Linked DNA regions of Macaca mulatta. The protein of the gene in region 1 interacts with the protein of each later gene in a biochemical or structural test. Links are inferred from orthologs where the notes say so. Each region holds a gene or a part of one and is shown in the gene's direction. Other genes may lie near its edges.

Region 1 (4,384 bases):
TATCGCATCATTCAGAAAATGATTTCACTGGCCAGGCATGGTGGCTGACACCTGCAATCCTAGCACTTTGGGAGGCTGAGGTGGGCGGATCACTTGAGGCTAGGAGTTTGAGACCAGCCTGGTCAACATGGCAAAACCCTGTCTCTACTAAAAATACAAAAATTCCGAGTGTGGCGGCAGATGACTGTAGTCCCAGCTTACGGGCTGAGGCTGGAGAATCGCTTGAACTGGGAGGCAGAAGTTGCAGTGAGCTGAGATTGTGCCATTCCACAAATTCCCAAAACACTCCTAGATGAAGTGGTATCTCTTCACTGAGAACTGGTCTTTCAGGGAACAGACATACCATGCAACCTAGTGAACTGGGCTGGACCAAGACAGGTCCAGGGAGCAGGTGGGCTTCTAAAGGGGCAGCACAGTTCATTCCCAAATTTGTTGCCATCAGGGAATATACCATGACTTACCAAACCTTCCAGTGATTCCAGAGAAAGCTAAACTCCATATTCTTATGTGAAATCTTTTGATTTCTACATATCGGCAACAACTTTTAAGATTTTTAAACATTCTGGCAATCAAAACAGTTCTGCTGGTTTGGTGTGGCTCATGTTGCCTCACTTTGCAAAGTGTTCAGTGCTAGTGAAATTTTAGTGTTTTTTTTGAGACAGGGTCTCACTTTGTCGCCCAGCCTGGAGTGTAGCGGCCAGGATCTCCGCTCACTATGGGCTCGACCTCCTGGGCTCAAGCGATCCTCCCATTCTCAGCCCCCCAGGGAGCTAGGAGTGCAGCTGCCCCGCCACAACGTCCGGCCTTTTTTTTTTTTTTTGGTATTTTAGTAGAGATGGGGTTTCCTCCTGTTGGCCAAGCTGGTCAAAATTTTCCTTTGTATTTAGTAAAATCCCCTTCTTTTCCAAGTGAGGAAACAGACTGAGTGTATAGTGACTTAGCCGGGCCACATAGTTGGATACTAGAGATAGTAGTCACAATCGTTGACATCTGCCATGTGGTCCTTACTGCAAACTTAGTTAATAATGAGGTCAGCTTTTTGTTATCCCACTTAACTAATAGGAGAAGCCAGCTCTGATTTCCGGTCCACTATCGTGCACTCTTTCTTGCCAAGCCGTCACATTTATTTAAAAAAAAAAAAATCCCGCTTTCCTGCCTCGCCTGTGCGTTTCCTTAGTTGCCCTTTCGGGGCTTGTTCTGATGAGTGCTGCAGAAAAATGACGAAGTGGAAAACACAGAACATGAAATGAAAATTTAAAAGAGGAAATGGTGTCACAAAGAAAACGACGGCCACGGGACCCCGCGAAGCGCCGCAGGGGGCACAACGGTCCTGGGAGAAAGTTCAAGAGGAACTTCCCCGCGAACACGTCCTGCCGGCGGCAGGGAATACGCAGTTTTTATGTTATTGGACCTTCCCGAACCTTTCGAAGCTGCAGGAAGGCGAGGCGGGCGGTGAAAAGGAAGAAAAATCTCGCCTACCGAAGGGAAAGGCGGCGCCCGGCCGCGCCCACCCCGCTGGGTCACGTGACACGGTCAAGATGGCCGACAGGGAAGGCGGCTGCACTGCTGGGCGGGAGCTGGAGCCGGGGCTGGGGCCGGGGCCTGGGTCAGAGCTGGAGCCGGGAGAAGAGTTTGAGATCGTGGACCGAAGCCAGCTGCCCAGCCCGGGCGACCTGCGGAGCGCAACGAGGCCGCGGGCGGCGGAGGGCTGGTCGGCGCCCATCCTGACCCTGGCACGCAGGGCCACCGGGAACCTGTCGGCGAGCTGCGGGAGCGCGCTGCGCGCGGCCGCGGGGCTGGGCGGCGGGGACAGCGGGGACGGCACGGCGCGCGCAGGTAGGCTCGGGCCGGGTCTGTCCCGCGGCGGACCCGCGTGTCCCCGCTGGCCGCTGGCGCGGGCGCGGTGGGGGCCGGGCTGGGAGGGCGCCGGCCGGTCGGGGAGGTTACGCGAGCTGTTGGCCGGCGGACGGCGCCTGGCTGCGCGTGGGTCTCTACTCCGGCGGCCCAGCCGAGACCGCCCCCCGCGGCCCCGCGTGCCTGAGCGCGCTCCCGCTCCCGCGCCTCTGCGCTTTCCCACTAACTAGGTGAAGGACGTGTGCGCGTCCGGGCTTCGAAACTCTGTAGTAACTCCACCCACGGCACGGAGCCAGCAAGGTTCTGCTTTTCAGCCGCTCAGTGCGGGAGTGGAGCGCTGGCGGGTGTCGGGAGGGCGTGGGCCCTGCGCGCAGCGGACCAGCGGCGCCTCCGCTCACCCCTGCCTGTGAGATGGGGATTTTAAAGTCACCGGATGATCTCTGAAAGACTTTTCAGCCCTTGTAATGAATAAAGTGCCAGCATATCAGTGATAGTAAGATTTTAACTTAGCCCTCCAACGCCAGACATCCAGAGCTGTGCTATCCAATACAGCAGCACGCGTATGTTTGTGTGTGTTTTTCTTTTTTGTTTTTATTTATTTTTTGAGACCGAGTCTTGCTCTGTCGCCCAGGCTGGAGTGCAGTGGTGTGATCTCGGCTCACTGCAACCCCTGCCTCCTGGGTTCAAGCTGTGCTCCCGCCTCAGCCTCCCGAGTAGCTGGGACTACAGGCGCCCACCACCATGCTCGGCGTGAGCCACCTCCCGGCCCCGTATTTTTGGTAGAAACGGGGTTTCACCACCTTGGCAAGGCTGGTCTTGAACTCCTGACTTCGTGATACACCTGCCTCGGCCTCCCAAAATGCTGGGACTACAGGCTTGAGCCACCGCCCGCAGCCGAATTCCTCAATTTCTAACTGAATCAAATTGAAATTGAGTACTTTTAAATTGAATTAAAAATGAGTTCCTCGGCCGGGAGCGGTGGTTCACGCCTGTAATCCTAGCACTTTGGGAGGCCGAGGCGGGCGGATCACGAGGTGAAGAGATCGAGACCATCTTGGCCAACACGGTGAAACCCCGTCTCTACTAAAAATACAAAAAATTGGCTGGGCGAGGTGGCATGCACCTGTAGTCGCAGTTACTCAGGAGGCTGAGGCAGGAGAATCGCTTGAACCCGGGAGGCGGAGGTTGCAGTGAGCCGAGATCGCGCCACTGCACTCCAGCCTGCGTGACAGAGCGAGACTCCGTCTCAAAAAAAAACAAAAACAAAAGTGAGTTCCTCGATTACAGCGGCCACGTTTTAAGTGCTCAGTAGCCTGTGTGTAGCCAGTGGCTACTGTATGAGAGAGCACAGCATAGAACATCGCCAACTTCATAGAAAATGCTGGGACAGAGCTGAGGAAAGGTGGTGGTGCCTTCCAAGGAGCATCATAGCACACCCTTAAGGCCTCCTGATTCCTCCCCATCCACTGGTACCTTTGCTGTAGACGCACTGACCCCAGGTAGTGAATTGTGAGATTTGCAATGGTCAAGAATGATTAATAGGCCGGGCGCGGTGGCTCAAGCCTGTAATCCCAGCACTTTGGGAGGCCGAGACGGGCGGATCATGAGGTCGGGAGATCGAGACCATCCTGGCGAACAAGGTGAAACCCCATCTCTACTAAAAATACAAAAAATTAGCCGGGCGTGGTGGCAGGCGCCTGTAGCCCCAGCTACTCAGGAGGCTGAGGCAGGAGAATGGCGTGAACCCGGGAGCTGGAGCTTGCAGTGAGCTGAGATCGCGCCACTGCACTCCAGCCTGGGCCACAGAGCCAGACTCGGTCTCAAAAAAAAAAAAAAAAAAAGAATGATTAATGAGTAAAGTTGAAAGGCTGACTGGTTTTGAGATCCTGGCAGTGGAAAGTAGTATTAGAGGGTGATGCGAGCCTGTGCAGCCCGGAAATCTACTTCCCTCTAGCTTGACACCTTTTCCGGAGATTTCCACACATCAGTGGATGCTGAATTGCATACTCATTGACAGTCAATACTGAAAGTCAAGGCATGGCATCCCCTGGAGGCCTCTTAGATATTTCGTGGCAGGAGTAAGCAAATAATAAATGTTAGTTCTTCCCTGATAGAATTTCTTTCCTTTTTTTTTTTTTTTGAGACGGAGTCTCGCTCTGTCGCCCAGGCTGGAGTGCAGTGGCGCGATCTCGGCTCACTGTAAGCTCCACCTCCCAGGTTCACGCCATTCTCCTGCCTCAGCCTCCCGAGTAGCTGGGACTACAGGCGCCCACCACTGCGCCCAGCTAATTTTTTTTGTATTTTAGTAGAGACGGGGTTTCACCGTGTTAGCCAGGATGGTCTCGATCTCCTGACCTCGTGATCCATCCGTCTCGGCCTCCCAAAGTGCTGGGATTACAGGCATAAGCCACCGCGCCCAGCCAGAATTTCTTTCCTTTAATGCAGAATCAAGGAAACAAAAAGATAAATGTGTCAGTACCTGGTACAGAATAGTAAGTGTTTGCTGAACAAATGCATATTTGAAAAATAC
Region 2 (2,950 bases), on another chromosome or scaffold:
GAAAACTGTGGTTCTCCAATAAAGTTATCAATTGCCTCTTAGGGGAGAGAATGTAGAAGATGCCTTCCTTGAGGCTGCCAAGAAAATATATCAGAACATTCAGGATGGAAGCTTGGATCTGAATGCTGCTGAGTCTGGTGTACAACACAAACCTTCAGCCCCGCAGGGAGGCCGGCTAACCAGTGAACCCCAACCCCAGAGAGAAGGCTGTGGCTGCTAGTGACCTCTTTGCCGTGGCCCCTCATTTGACCTTTCACCTCTGTCTGTTGAAAGCAGTACTTTTTACTGCCTCATTGTCTTCTGTACATCTTACTGGGTTTAATTAAAAAAAAAGAAAAAACAAAAATCTGTTGTAAAAACAGTTTAACACAATACTAAACTGCTAAACAACTAGATGTAATCAGGTTATCAAAGGCAAGTAGAGTAATAAATCTCTCCTGCATGGTAAATCTAGACTTTTTTTCCCCCTTGTCCTCGTGATAAGTATGTCACCAATATATGATTTAAACTGAGCACTGATGCTGGACTTCATGATTTTTTACCCTCCCTCTTTGGCAAGGCTTTGTCTCACTGTACGGTTTAATTTGATGATATCTTAAGCCTTTCTACCCATCCTTAACTGTTCAAGTATGTCTGTTGTAACCAATAAGTTTATTGCTGTGAAATGACTTCTGATGGTAGAGAAGGGGTTCTATAACTGCTTTTGTTTTGTTTTGGATAAATTTCCTGTTGTGTGGGTGGCATTTTTCTTGACGAGGTTTGCTTCTCTCTTAGCCTCGCACAGGGAAAATATCCATTTATCTTATCTCTCGTGCTTAATTAATAGCTTTATCTTTTTTTATACCATTTTATCCTTTTCTCTTTAACAGAAAGTAAATATGTATAAAATTTGAAGGAATCGAACTAACAATACATTCTGTGTATATTATTTTAATGAAGAAAATAAATTGATTACTGGCATTGGAACAGTATAAAATACCAGTTTGTACAGTATGACCTATATGTGACCATGTTACTCCCTTCCATTTCACACAAAGAAATAGACACACTGCAGTTCACAAGTAGTACTGGCTCCACCCCTTGGTGCTGGCAGTGTTTGGGGACATTATGCTGGAAAAAGCTCCTAGCATCAGAGGATTAACACTAGCAGATTCTGTTCCATCTTTGCACTGTTGCTTACCTGCTGATTTTCTTAACTGTTCTTGTGCAATCGACAATGTGCTAACCTGCTTTTCTCTTTTTGTAAACGTTTTTGCATTACAGGCTGCATTCTTGCCTTACTGTATAGGAAAAGAAAAAAGGCTGGGTTTATTATTGCACATTTTAAGCTTTTATACCTTTATCTTCTTGGAATGGTCAGATTCTGAACTGGACAGTCAGAACCACAGGTCTGCTGTTAAGGGATTTTAAATTGTGCATTTTTAACACTACAGTGAAATAAGATATCCCTGTGTTCATAGTATGAGGGGCTGTTTTATGTCATGTTGGCATAAATTGTTTCATAAAAGGGAAAGTGTTTCTAAAGGTGTTTCAGTGCTTGTGCTGATACAAAGTAAGTTATTACTTTGCACTAGGTGGTTTGGCCACTGAATTAATACTGTATAGCAAGAGAAACAATCTTATTCCTTTGTACAACAAACATGTTTAAGTTCTTCATTTCTGTTGATTTTTCTTACTGTGTTTGATTCAGTGGCTGGGAATTGAGAGTTTATTTGAAGTAGAATAGGTAACACCTCAGCGCACTATAGAAAATGCACTCAGCTCAACTGCTGTGTTTAAAATACACATTTTAAATCCCTCTTTACAGACACTAACATAAAAGTACATCTTTTTGGGTTGTAAACATGTGGTAGTACCAGAGTATTGTATAGTCAATGTTAAATAAAAGCCAAAACTGGAATGTGCAGAAAATAGGCTTTGGTTAATTTGTGGATTCATTTTTATTTTTGTCTTTAACTTTTTAAAAAATAGGATTTCTGGAGTAGATTGGTATGTTCTGTTAAAGACTACAGTGATCCATTTTGCTTACACTGTTGCATCACAAGGGATTCACCCAGGGACCATGACCTGCTGGTGTGTGTGTATATTTACAAAAACAAAACAAACAAACCACCCATTGGGATATAAGGTGGCAATCACAAACGAAAGACTGCGGCTTGTTGAGGTGCAATACCCTGACTCCCAAAGTTAGTTACAGTGGGTTTTATTGTTTTTGTGACCGAAGGATTTATTCAGACTGCTGTACTCTTCATTTGATGTAACAAAATGCTATTAATCTAAATATTTGTAAATAAAGTACCTGTATCTAGATTAAAGTTGGTTGCATTATTTTCTGAACTATAATAGGGTTTATTTTCTTCAGGTGAACAAGTTGATGTGTCATCAGTTTTTATTGCAGCACTGTCTGTATTTGTTGTATAAAGAGAGGTCTACATATGTAGCATATAAAACCACATCACTAATAGAGCCACAGTTTTATTCTTGTGTTTGCATCACCCTTGAAATGTTTTCAGTCAACCATTTTCAGTGTAAGATCAGCACATTTGCTGGCTGATGCTGTTCTCCCTTGACTGTACTGGGAGCCAGATTCTATCATACGCATGTGTAATCCCCTGTAATAAACTCGGGTGCTCACAAATAGAGCAGACTGTCATATTGTAACATGTGTGTGCCAGACACTGGGCAGTACACTTTGGAAAGAATGTGAAATCCTTTTAATTTTTAATCCATAGCTTACTGCTTGTGCAGTCACCTGCTTCTCGAGGTTACTCATTGCCCTTGGACCTGTGAGGAGGCCCTCAGATTAGTAATTGGTGCTTAGTACTATTTACACTTAAATAGATGTTTCAGTACAATGTTCAAGTCTTTTTTTTATGGATAATAAAGTGATGGAGTAATTTTTTTTTTTTTTTTTTTTTTTGGTGGTGTACACGTTAATAGGTAGTACAAT
Region 3 (3,864 bases), on another chromosome or scaffold:
TTTCGTGTGCATGAGTCTGTGTGTCAGACAGATACGCAGAAGTGGAATTGCTGGGTCAGAGAACATAAGCATTTGGGATCTTGGTGTAGAGGTGGTCACATTTTCTCCTAGTGATGGGCTTATTTCACTAAAGCCATGTCCACAGCGTGTAGTATCATCATACTTGGACTTTTGGCCCATCCGATAAGTGAAAAATTGTATCTTTGTAATTTAATTTTAAATTATTTTATATAAATAATATATTCACATAATTTGAAATTCAAGAAGTATAAAAGAGTATGCAGTGGAAAGTCCCGCTGTTACCACCCCCTCCCGTCCCCGGCCATCTAGAACTCCTCCGAATCAGCCGTTCCTTATGTATCGTGCTAGAGACGTTTTGTGCCGGTGCAAGCAAACATGTAAATTGTTTTTTCCTCTTTATTCAGAGTGGTGGGATATATACACAGGGTTCCGTACTTTGCTTTTTTTTTTTTTTTTTTTTAATCTATTTTTGGGATCTCAGAAACATAAAACTTTTTTTTAAAGAAGACTTGCTTGGTCCTTAGGTGAGCTGGACCCAGAAAGAATGGGCTCGGGTATTCAGTACGGAGATGCTGCCTTGAGACAGCTGAGGTCACCCCGGCGCGCACAGGCCCCGAATGCTCAGGAGTGTGGTTGTTAGGAGCCATGGGAGAGCGCACAGGTGGGTTCGGACACCTCACTGCCCTGAGTTCCTGACAAGCTGAAGTGCAGAGGCCTGTGAAAGCTTTGGGAAGCTGCAGTATGAAAAATAGAGGATCCCAGCCAGGTCCAGTGGCTCTAATTCCAGCACTGTGGGAGGCTGAGGTGGGCCAGTCGCTTTAGTTCAGGAGTTTGAGACCAGCCTAGGCATCATGGTGAAACACCATCTCTACAAAATACAAAAAATTAGCCAGGCATAGTGGCATGCACCTGTAGTCCCAGCTACTCATGAAACTTAGGAGAATTGCTTGAGCCTGGGAGGCAGAGGTTGCAGTAAGCCAAGATCGCACCACTGCACTCCAGCCTAGGTGATAAAGTGAGACAGTCTCAGGAAAAAAAAAAAAAAAAAGAGAAGGAGACTATCCCATAAGTTAAAGTTGGATGTTCTAACTGAAAGAATTTACACCCTATAGGAAATTCTCATGTTCTTGTTCAGAAAGAAAGGAAGGGCAGGTGGTGGTTGACGGGAGAGGGTGAGATATCCTGATTCCTTATGTCAGTGAGGAGCCTTTCCTGGATTGAGTGAGGTCTAAAGGAATGTGCCTTTTGCTAAAACAGGAGACTCATTTATGAAATTGACAAATGTCTCCCTTTAACTTTTTAAAGCTTCTTCTTTTTTCCCATTTACCACAGTGGACGTTTTATTTATAGTCGACATCATGTAGTAGACACAGACAAGTATTGAAAGACGAGATATTCACAAATTCTCTTTTAGGCTTTAAGCTGTATTTACTTTTGCATTTATAATTGTGCAGATTTTGACATTGTTCTTATTATTTTTTAGGTGTTCATACAGTGGCATTTGGGACACAATCGTTGGAACCTGAAGAACCTGAAGTTTTTTTACCACCATCCTTTTCTACTCTATATGGAAGTAGATCTTTATGGGGAAAAGAGAATTTGGGGTGTTCTGCAAGCTGGTCAAAGTGGCACAGCAAATCATATAAATCGAATTAAATGGACAACACCGTTAGATGTGTATGTAAAAATTTTCTGTTTCATATTTTCCCTTTCACTTTCGGTTTAAAACATGCTATAAACATGCTATAAACATGCTATGTACTGTATGTCCTGTAGCCCAGTGCGGCTCCGCAGCATGGAATCTGATGTATGATATGATAGAATGTGGCACTAAATGCAGTTTCAGATTTTATTTTTTTTAATCATATGAACTAAAATTGTCAGTTGTGAGGTGTGCTCTTCTCATCATGTTGGTTATATTGCACAATTGGTTATATTTATGACCTGATATTCAAAGACTCTGGCATTGATAGCCAGTGTGTTTCTTATTTAATTCTGTTTACTACATTCTACATGGTGTTTACGTGATCCACACTTGAAATACTAGATCAGTAGACATTCACTAACATACCAAAAAAAATAAAATGAAAAATGGAGTTTTTCCGTGAACTTTATACTGTTCAGCTCTGTTGATTTTAAAGCCTCTTCATCCAGGTCAGTTCAGGAAGTATATCTGGAGTACCTGCTCTGTTTTAGGCTATGAGACTAGCACTAAGGATTCTGGTACCTTTACGCAAACCTACCGGGCTACTAACACTTCTCTCAGCGGTGGATAAAATACAATAGACCATGCAAGCTAGGGCCGCTCATCCATTTCCAGTTTGCTGGTCTGTCTGGTCTCCCTGCTAGAAAACACATTGTTTGTACTGTGCTTTTTCTGGAATTCAGTAGAATGGCATCACTGCCTGTTTTTCATATCTTTTGTTTCCTGTTCATTTTAAGGAAACCTGCTAAATCCAGTTAATATGAAAAGGACACCACTCATTAAGAAATTTCTTTATGGCTTCTGCTGAATACTTAAATGCCTTACTACAGTTATCAAGTTGACATGTTTTTAATTCATATAAGGTATATTGGGTATATTGAAGTATATATTGTATTACAAAGACTTGTTCTTATATTTTAAAATGTCAGTGCAAAAAATATATGGTGGAACCTTTCTTTAAAGTTGAAATACAGTATTATTTAAGTCTGAAAGGTTAAAAAGCTTTCTTCACCTTATATATGTTCTTCCACTGTGACTTTTTAGTTGAAGACTAGTAAATTAACTTTTAGTTAGAAGATGCCTACTGCTTTTGTTGTTTATTTTAATCAGCAGAGCACAGAGACACACAAAAACTCTGGGAAGTAACTAGGATAAAAATACCAGTATGTATCTGTTTTAGATATTTTGAGTTTTGCTTTTTTTATGCCTTGAATATTTTATTTCAAAAAGTATCTGAAGCAAATTCTTAGACTGAACTACTTCTTAGACCTCACTGTAAGAATGTTTTATTCAATGTCTCATTTATGATAGATTTGCAAGCTGCTCATTTTTGAACAGCTTTTTGCATGGGATAGGAGCATGTCTATTCTAACACATTAGCTTATTCAAAAGCAAGAATTTTAAAAATAAGATAAATGTAAAGTTGTTTTATAAACGATCCTGTTAATTAACCTACAGACACCATATATCCTTCTGCATCCTTTGACCAATAAAAGTTGCTGGAGAACCAAACCATGGTGGTTCTTAATCAGGCTTTGCCTTTAGGGAGAATGAGGAGGGGAGATAATTCGGTATTGTTCAGGCTAGTAATAAATGTTATGTTTCTATTTCCCGTAACTCATTAAGTTTTCAGGAAGCTCTTAATTTAGATTTCTAGGAAAGTAATTATTCAGTCTTCCTAGAAAAAGATTATAAAGACCATTTAAACTGGAGATCGTAATTTATTCTTTTACAGTCCAGCATTTAAGTAAAAATGAGAACATCACAATTTGGGAATGTGTAATGGTTTTGTTGAAAACATTACTTGTGGCTTGTATAAGACTTGCTGAATTCAAGAACATTGATTCCTAGCAGATCAATAATAGTATTTAAAGAATCTGATGCTAAAATTAGAAACCTAAATGATCTGTAATTTGTACTGTGACACAGCAGATGATGTTTCCTTATTTTCTGTCATCTTTTTATGTTTTTGGAGAGGCAAATTAGAGGTGCTTTAAAAAAACCCGTGAATTTTTAATGTTTTGTGGTGCCATTTGTGAAGCACCTCTTTCCTGATCCATCTAACTACTCATGTACGTACAATCTGAGTTTGTTCCACTTGTTGACTTGGTTACTTCCCTATTGTATTTATTTCTTTA

The links.
Region 2: the proteins of RUFY1 (region 1) and RAB14 form a complex in vitro, tested with the Homo sapiens proteins (2 studies listed by BioGRID). The link is inferred for Macaca mulatta from reciprocal best matches to the Homo sapiens genes RUFY1 and RAB14.
Region 3: the proteins of RUFY1 (region 1) and RAB4A form a complex in vitro, tested with the Homo sapiens proteins (2 studies listed by BioGRID). The link is inferred for Macaca mulatta from reciprocal best matches to the Homo sapiens genes RUFY1 and RAB4A.

The regions. Positions count from the first base shown.
Region 1 is NC_133411.1:188,502,380-188,506,763, forward strand, and holds the start of RUFY1 (RUN and FYVE domain-containing protein 1), read left to right. Parts: upstream 1-1,524; 5' UTR 1,525-1,538; coding exon 1,539-1,836; intron 1,837-4,384. UniProt on the Homo sapiens protein: Activating adapter involved in cargo sorting from early/recycling endosomes. Regulates retrieval of proteins from endosomes to the trans-Golgi network through interaction with the dynein-dynactin complex.
Region 2 is NC_133420.1:37,020,901-37,023,850, forward strand, and holds the end of RAB14 (ras-related protein Rab-14), read left to right. Parts: intron 1-42; coding exon 43-220; 3' UTR 221-2,337; downstream 2,338-2,950.
Region 3 is NC_133406.1:19,742,712-19,746,575, reverse strand, and holds the end of RAB4A (ras-related protein Rab-4A), read left to right. Parts: intron 1-545; coding exon 546-661; 3' UTR 662-682; intron 683-1,504; 3' UTR 1,505-3,236; downstream 3,237-3,864. UniProt on the Homo sapiens protein: The small GTPases Rab are key regulators of intracellular membrane trafficking, from the formation of transport vesicles to their fusion with membranes.